2 linked regions of the Pelodiscus sinensis genome follow. The protein of the gene in region 1 purifies or fractionates together with the protein of each later gene. This does not show direct contact. Links are inferred from orthologs where the notes say so. Each region holds a gene or a part of one and is shown on either strand. Other genes may lie near its edges.

Region 1 (3,745 bases):
GAGGGGGTGGGTCATTGCGGAGGGGTGGGGCGGGGTATGTGAGGGGCAGGAGGGTGGGTCATTGCGGGGGGGGTGGGGAGGGGTATGTGAGGGGCAGGAGGGGGTGGGTCATTGCGGAGGGGTGGAGCGGGGGTATGTGAGGGGCAGGAGGGGGTGGGTCATTGAGGGGGGGTGGGGCGGGGTATGTGAGGGGCAGGAGGGAGTGGGTCATTGTGGGGGGGGTGGGGCGGGGTATGTGAGGGGCAGGAGGGAGTGGTCATTGCGGGGGGGGGTGGGGAGGGGCATGTGAGGGGCAGGAGGGGGTGGGTCATTGCGGAGGGGTGGAGCGGGGTATGTGAGGGGCAGGAGGGGGTGGGTCATTGCGGAGGGGTGGAGCGGGGTATGTGAGGGGCAGGAGGGGGTGGGTCATTGCTGGGGGGTGGGGCGGGGTATGTGAGGGGCAGGAGGGGGTGGGTCATTGCGGGGGGGTGGGGCGGGGTATGTGAGGGGCAGGAGGGGGTGGGTCATTGCGGGGGGGTGGGGCGGGGTATGTGAGGGGCAGGAGGGGGTGGGTCATTGCGGGGGGGTGGGGCGGGGTATGTGAGGGGCAGGAGGGGGTGGGTCATTGCGGGGAGGGGCGGGGTATGTGAGGGGCAGGAGGGGGTGGGTCATTGCGGGGAGGGGGCGGGGTATGTGAGAGGCAGGAGGGGGTGGGTCATTGCAGCACTGTCCCCCACTGCAAGCTTGGCCAGTTCTGGCTCTGCTGTTCCTTTTGGTAGCTGGCTCACGTTCCCCAAGGAAATGTGCCCCAAATGAAAAAAGGTAGTGGTGCCAACTGCAAGGAGCCAGAAGCCCTGAAATCCTGACGATTGTCCAGGGTTTGAGCAGTCCTGAGGCAGAAAAGCATCTGCAAGATCCAGCCCCCTTCCCTCCCACTCTGTTTGGCTTTGGGCTTGCACCTTTCCCTGAGGTTTTGTCCACTTCAGTGCATCTGCTGGAGAACTTGGCTTACTCTGCACTTGGCCCATTTCAGTTTCTCTGTGTGGCTTTGCCCAGCGGCTAGAAAAACAGGCCAAAGAAAAGCTTTGCCCAGTGGCGGGTTGGGCGGTCAGTCCATCCTTGCTGCTGTTCCTCAGGTGTTGAGCACACCAGGCTGGCTCTGACCTATCTGGGGCTTCTGAGGGCCAATGAAGTTTGTCGTTTTTGAAAAATCTGGCAACTGGATTCATCATGAAAGGGTCAGGACCAGTGTTCCCTCCAATGTTTTATGTCTGTGTGTGGAATTACTTTTGTTATATGCACCATATGGAGGAGACAATTATGGCACACACTCACAGGTCACGCCCACACTTGGCCCATACCGTCCCTGGGCAGAACCCACTCCAGTGTGACAGCCCTTTATCTGCAAGTCCTCTCTCTCCCTGGGGTCTGCCCCTCTGTCTCCTGGGACAGTGATTCTAGAGGCCTTCAGCAGACCTGTCTCTGCTGTAGGCCCCCAGGGCCTCCACTCCCAAAGGGAATAGTTCAGCCCTGTTCTCCAGACCAAAGCAACTCTCAGTGTAAAACAGGAGGGTTTATTGAACACAACAAAGGGACCCTCAGGCCTGTAGGCCTGGCCCCTCTCAGCCCAGCATGTCTGAGTCTCCCCTGCAGCTGAGTGGGCTCTGCCTAAACTCTCCCTTTCCAGTTCAGAAGCTCCCTTCTTCCAGCTGAGTCCCCTCCGCAGCCTTTGTCTTCAGTCCAGAAAAATAGGGTTGCCTGGGCCCCTCTGCTCTCTTCTCCATTCTTTATTCTCTCTCCCCCCAGCTCCCCACTCCCCACCCCGCTGGAACAAGCTGAGCAGGTCACCCAGGTCTTGTTTCTGCAACCCATTATCCTCCCACTGGCCAGACCTGGCTCTGCCCTCCGAGCTGGGCCTGCCAGTCACTGGGGTCTCCTGTACTGTCCCCTGTAACAACAAACTCCCTCTTCTCCCCTTGTTAAACCAGTAACACCCAGGGACGCTGAGTGCCTCCTCTGTGCGTGCAACCTCTTTGCACTTCCCCACTCAGTCACACAAGTCATTCTACACAGGGACAGTGTGTGGCAGTGATAAGGCTGAGGAGGTGTAATTGGGGGCTTTGGGCTGGGGCAGGTAGTTGGGGTACAGGAGGGGGTGAAGTCTCCAGCGAGGATGTGGGCTCTGGAGTGGGCTTGGGAATGAGGAATTTGGGGAGGGGCTGAGGCCTGGGCTTGGAGTGCAGGAGAGGGTACAGGCTCCGGTCTGGGGGTGGGGCCAGGAATGAGAGATTTGGGGTCCAGGTGGTAGTCTGGGTTGGGAGGGGTCAGGTGGGGGGCTGGGGCTTGGGCTTACCTGGGTGGTTCCTGGCCTGTGGTGCTAAGGCAGGCCTGGTGCATGCCTCTTGGGGCACCCCTCTGGGCCCCAGAAGCAGCCAGCATGTCCAGCTCCAGGGGATGGGAGGGGCATGAGGCTCCACTGTGCACCATGTGCACTGCTCTCACCCCTGTGCACCACAAGAACCAGCCAGTGGGAATGCGCAGCTGGTGTAGAGCCTCCCCCCGGGACCTGCTACTTACTGCTTCCCTGCCAGCCCAGCACAGAACTGCCCTGGCTGCAGCAGCTCTGGGCTGGGGCTGCGGGAGGGTCACCTCTCCCCCGACTGTGGCAGCTTCGGGGCTGGGGAGAGGCATCTCTCTCCACTGCAGCCCTGAGCCCCCTGGTGGGGCTTAACAGGAGGTTGTGGAGCTTAGAGGGAGGTTAGATCAGGAGACCAGGGTTTTATTGCCCCCTCCTTGCCCCCTGAGCCAAGATAGTACCCAGGAGTCCTGACTCCCAGTTTCCCCCAGCTATAACCCATCAGCCGCCCACCCTGCTCTCCATGCCTGTGTCTCTGTAGCTCGCTCTCTGATGCCCGACCTTTCTCCACAGGGTTCCTGGCTCCTGTCACCATGCTGCCTACGAAGGTGGAAACCGAGAAGCAGGGTGGGTTCTATACCCCTGTGGGTCTGCCTGGAGAACACTGGTGATACCAGATGGCAGGGCGGGCACCCCCCAGCCATCTATGCTGAGATTCCAGCTTCCCCCCCAGCCACGCCCTGAAAGACAATCCCACCCCACAGCTACACTATGCCCAGTGGCTGATTCATTCTAAGACAGCCACAGAGCCTGTGCCTTGTAGGGCAGGGTGATCATGTGGGTGGTGTTGGGGGTTGGGTGCTGGTCCAGTCACGGTCTGTCCCCACTTACCCTGTAACCCGGGTATCTTTGCTCCCCATGCAGCCTGGGATGTCCATAGCTAGCCTACAGGTCACACCGCGAGTGTGTGCTAGGCAGCCCTGGCTCAGCAGCCTGTCTGCAGCCCCACCAGCAAGCTGACCCCAATGCATTCCCCATCCCTATTTCCCCCGGAGACTTCTCTGCCACATTGTTACCAGATTTGCCCAATACTTTGGGGTATGCTCATTTATCAGGGTTACCCTTATGGGACTGGGGGAAAGTTGACAGTTCTATCAGTGTGCTCTTGGTGCTTACTTGGGCTCTCATATGAAGCTGAATTCTCCCTGCTGCCAATTCCCCCTCCCACTGGAGCTCTCCTGCAGGAACTAGGTTCCTCAGGATGGGGTTCTTCCCACCTTAGCAACACACACAGACACTCACACCCACTAACAGAGCACGTCTGAGAGGACTGGGTACTCAGCACTCACAAGCTGACCCCTTCATATGTCCCTGGACTCAGCTGGCTGGGTTTCACAGCAATGCCACACT
Region 2 (3,745 bases), on another chromosome or scaffold:
TACATGGATCCGACCTACATCGGATCCCTACTTACAAACGGGGTGAGGCAACCCCGCACTAGCTGCTTCCTCCCAGCAAACCAGGGAGACGCGAAGCTAGTGCCACCCCTCCCCAGCAGACCAGGGAGACGCGGAGCTAGCGCCCCTCCCCCCCAGCAGACCAGGGAGACGCGGAGCTAGCGCCCCTCCCCCCCAGCAGACCAGGGAGACGCGAAGCTAGCGCCCCCCCCCCAGCAGACAAGGGAGACGCGGAGCTAGCACCCCCCCCCAGCAGACCAGGGAGACGCGGAGCTAGCGCCCCCCCCCCAGCAGACCAGGGAGACGCGGAGCTAGCGCCCCCCCCCAGCAGACCAGGGAGACGCGGAGCTAGCGCCCCCCCCCCCCCAGCAGACCAGGGAGACGCGAAGCTAGCGCCCCCCCCCCCCCCAGCAGACCAGGGAGACGCGAAGCTAGCGCCCCCCCCCCCAGCAGACCAGGGAGACGCGAAGCTAGCGCCCCCCCCCCAGCAGACCAGGGAGACGCGAAGCTAGCGCCCCCCCAGCAGACCAGGGAGACGCGGAGCTAGCGCCCCCCCCCCCAGCAGACCAGGGAGACGCGGAGCTAGCGCCCCCCCCCAGCAGACCAGGGAGACGCGGAGCTAGCGCCCCCCCCCCAGCAGACCAGGGAGACGCGGAGCTAGCGCCCCCCCCCCAGCAGACCAGGGAGACGCGGAGCTAGCGCCCCCCCCCAGCAGACCAGGGAGACGCGGAGCTAGCGCCCCCCCCCAGCAGACCAGGGAGACGCGGAGCTAGCGCCCCCCCCCCAGCAGACCAGGGAGACGCGGAGCTAGCGCCCCCCCCCCCAGCAGACCAGGGAGACGCGGAGCTAGCGCCCCCCCCCCAGCAGACCAGGGAGACGCGGAGCTAGCGCCCCCCCCCAGCAGACCAGGGAGACGCGGAGCGGCTTTTCTCAGCAGACACCTCAGCTTGAGAATAAAGGACTGAGGGAAGTGAGGTGTGGGAGAATAAAACTGAGCGCTGGAGAAATGTTTGGCTAGCGTTTCCCCTACAACATGTACAGTTCCGACTTGCATACAAATTCAACTTAAGAACAACCCCCCAGTCCCTATCTTGTATGTAACCCGGGGACTACCTGTACTACAATCAGGAGGATTAGCGGGGCCAGTGACATCCGCGGGTCCGCTCGGCTCTCCCCTCTTTTGTCCTCGCCAGGCTCCCGTACCCACCGGCTGTTTTCCTTCCTGCCTGAAGAGGGATCCTCAGCCCCGCCGCCGGGCTGGCTCCCCGGGCGCCATGTCCCTCCCGTGTCCCGCTCTGGGCGCGCCGCGGCGGAGCGCGCCGCCCGGCCTAGGCGGAGCGCGGCCTGCAGGATGCTGAGCGGGGCATGGCGGCGGGCCTGCCGCGCCCCGCCGCCCGGGGGCCGTTGCTGAGGTAACCGCACGTGTTCGCCCCCCCCCTCCCGGCGAGGCTCCCCGGGGCCGCCGCGTCTCCCGGGGAGGGGCCGAGCGGGCCTGACTCAGCCCGGGGGGTTAAGTAACTTCTCCCCTCCCCGGCCACTCGGCGAGCCGGGCCCTGCTCCCCCCCAGGCGGGCTGCTCCCGGCCGGCGCGGGCGGACACGGGACAAGGGGGGTTCCCTCTGCTCTCGCCCACCCACCTGCCGCCGCGCCTGCTCGCCCGGGCCCGAGCGCTGCTGAGCCTGCGCCCAGCAGGCGATTGGCAGCAGCTCCCTTCGCGGGGAGGGGGAGAGGCTGGTCTCGGTCCCGGACCCGAGCGCCCCCCTCTAAGTGGGGAGGGGCTCCCGGAGGGAAAGGCGCTTGTGAGCAGCCCTCTTGCTTCTTTGTGCGCCCCCCCCCCCCCCCAGGGACCAGTCCCGTGGGGGGATGCTCACTCAGGGGCGTGACCCGCGATGAAGCGGGGCAGAGATGCCGGGATGAGACTGTGAATGGCTCTTCCCGCAGAAAAACCTTAAGTTCTGCCTTAAAGTCAACCCCGGAGAAATCGCTCCAGCACGACAGAAGTGGTAGGGCAGCTTGTGGGGTACCGCTGTCACTTAGTGCTACAGAGCAGTCAGCGGGAGAGGGGACTTCCTCCCCAAACGCAGCCATGAGACTGCCAGCCCGGCCCCACCCCGCAGGAGATATTTGAACTCAGGAGCCAGAAGGGTTTCACATATTGGGATAGAAAACTCTTACTTGCTCCCCACAGTCTAACTTCCACATTCAGAATGGTGAAGTTATTCCCTCTCCTGACTCTGATCAGCATAACCCTGGTTCCAGGCCAGGTGTTTGCAGGTTGTGCATTTAGATCTGCCCTTTCAGTGGCCAGAGAGCACTTTACTTCCTGTCCTAATGGGGGATGGTAATGATATTAGCTAGCCACAGCCTAGAGCTAACAGACAGCAGCTGGTAGCTTTTGGGGTCTCAGTTGCAATTAATTGAGACGTATGTTTTTCCCTTCATAGGGGAAAAACATGACTTCACCAGTCTATTAACTGGGTTAGAGTAGTTTTAGACTACCCCCCCTATTGTCTGTAAGTTAGGGGCTTTGAAGAGTTATTAATTTATCTGAGAAGATTGACATCAGTGGTGGTGTAACAGATTGAAGAATGTGGAAGTTAGTTTAACATGTAGGCCAAATCCAAAAGGTACATAAAGCCCAGTTTTGATACTACAGTAACCAGAAATTTCCTGGTTACTGTAGTAGGTACCTAAACACAGAGCACTAGGGCTGTAAAATCCCAGTCAACCACGATCACAGTCACTCACCTCTGCTGAGCTAAGTCCCTCCTTCTCCCCCTCCCCCATGGGGGGGGAGAGAAGGAAGTGGTGGTGGAAGCAGGAGGCAGAAGCCAAGCCCAGCATGAAGAATGGTGCTGGCTCCTGCTCCCGCAAGCACCCCCCATGGTAGAGTGGGGAGGGGGGGTAAGATGGGCTGCTCCCAGGCATGGGTTAACCATTCTCATCTCTACTCAGCACCTACATACAAGTTAACTAAACCTTTGAGCAGATGAAAGCCACTGACCTAAAGGAATGTGGCAGTGCAATCTTACTAGACTTTTGCACCCCCTTCAGGAATCTGATGTATTGGTACACTCAAGTCTCAGCTCATTTAAACTACTTGCTTACAAAAGGAAAAAAAGTCCCAGAACACTTACTGAAAAGTTGCTTATTTTCTCATTTTTAGCCATGTAATTCTAAATCTACTAGAAGATTTACCTGGTGTTGCTCAGGTCCTTGACTCCATTTTTATTTTTCCTTCATTTAAATCATTGCCCTGGAATGGGGCTGGGCTGAGAGGTCCAGGATGCAGGCTGCTTTGGGGAAGAGAAGACAACCCCAGCCCTCCCTCACTGCAGCAGCTTGGGACCAGGTGAGAAGTGCCTGACCATGACCACTGCAGTGGGCACAGCCAGGGGAGGCGCGCATGTCCTCTGGCTAGAGGACAGACACAGACTCTGAAATATATAGTAGATAGCTATCTACCTCTGCCACCTTCTGGCTCAATGGGGTTAAAGCTATCCTGGTCCCTATCTCTGACCTCTCTCTGCCGTCATTCTGCAGTATAACTGGCCTTCCTACCCGAGTTCTCCCTTTCTATTCTATGAGAAAGTCCAGGCACATCCCATTATCCTAGCACAATGAAACCCCAAACCAGGTGATAAGACGAAGCTGCATACCAAACTTGGTGGTCTTAGCTCTTTCCATTTGTTCAAGAACTTCTCTTAATGGTCTCAGATTTCTAAAAT

What was found. The genes of interacting proteins can lie anywhere in the genome.
Region 2: the proteins of LIN37 (region 1) and MYBL2 purify together in Homo sapiens (affinity purification with mass spectrometry; 6 studies listed by BioGRID and IntAct, counting the BioPlex papers as one, with this or other methods). This does not show direct contact. The link is inferred for Pelodiscus sinensis from reciprocal best matches to the Homo sapiens genes LIN37 and MYBL2.

What each region holds. Positions count from the first base shown.
Region 1 is NC_134734.1:5,194,800-5,198,544, forward strand, and holds the start of LIN37 (protein lin-37 homolog), read left to right. Parts: upstream 1-776; 5' UTR 777-791; coding exon 792-801; intron 802-2,908; coding exon 2,909-2,962; intron 2,963-3,745.
Region 2 is NC_134728.1:29,651,651-29,655,395, reverse strand, and holds the start of MYBL2 (myb-related protein B), read left to right. Parts: upstream 1-1,231; 5' UTR 1,232-1,383; coding exon 1,384-1,430; intron 1,431-3,183; coding exon 3,184-3,369; intron 3,370-3,745. UniProt on the Homo sapiens protein: Transcription factor involved in the regulation of cell survival, proliferation, and differentiation. Transactivates the expression of the CLU gene.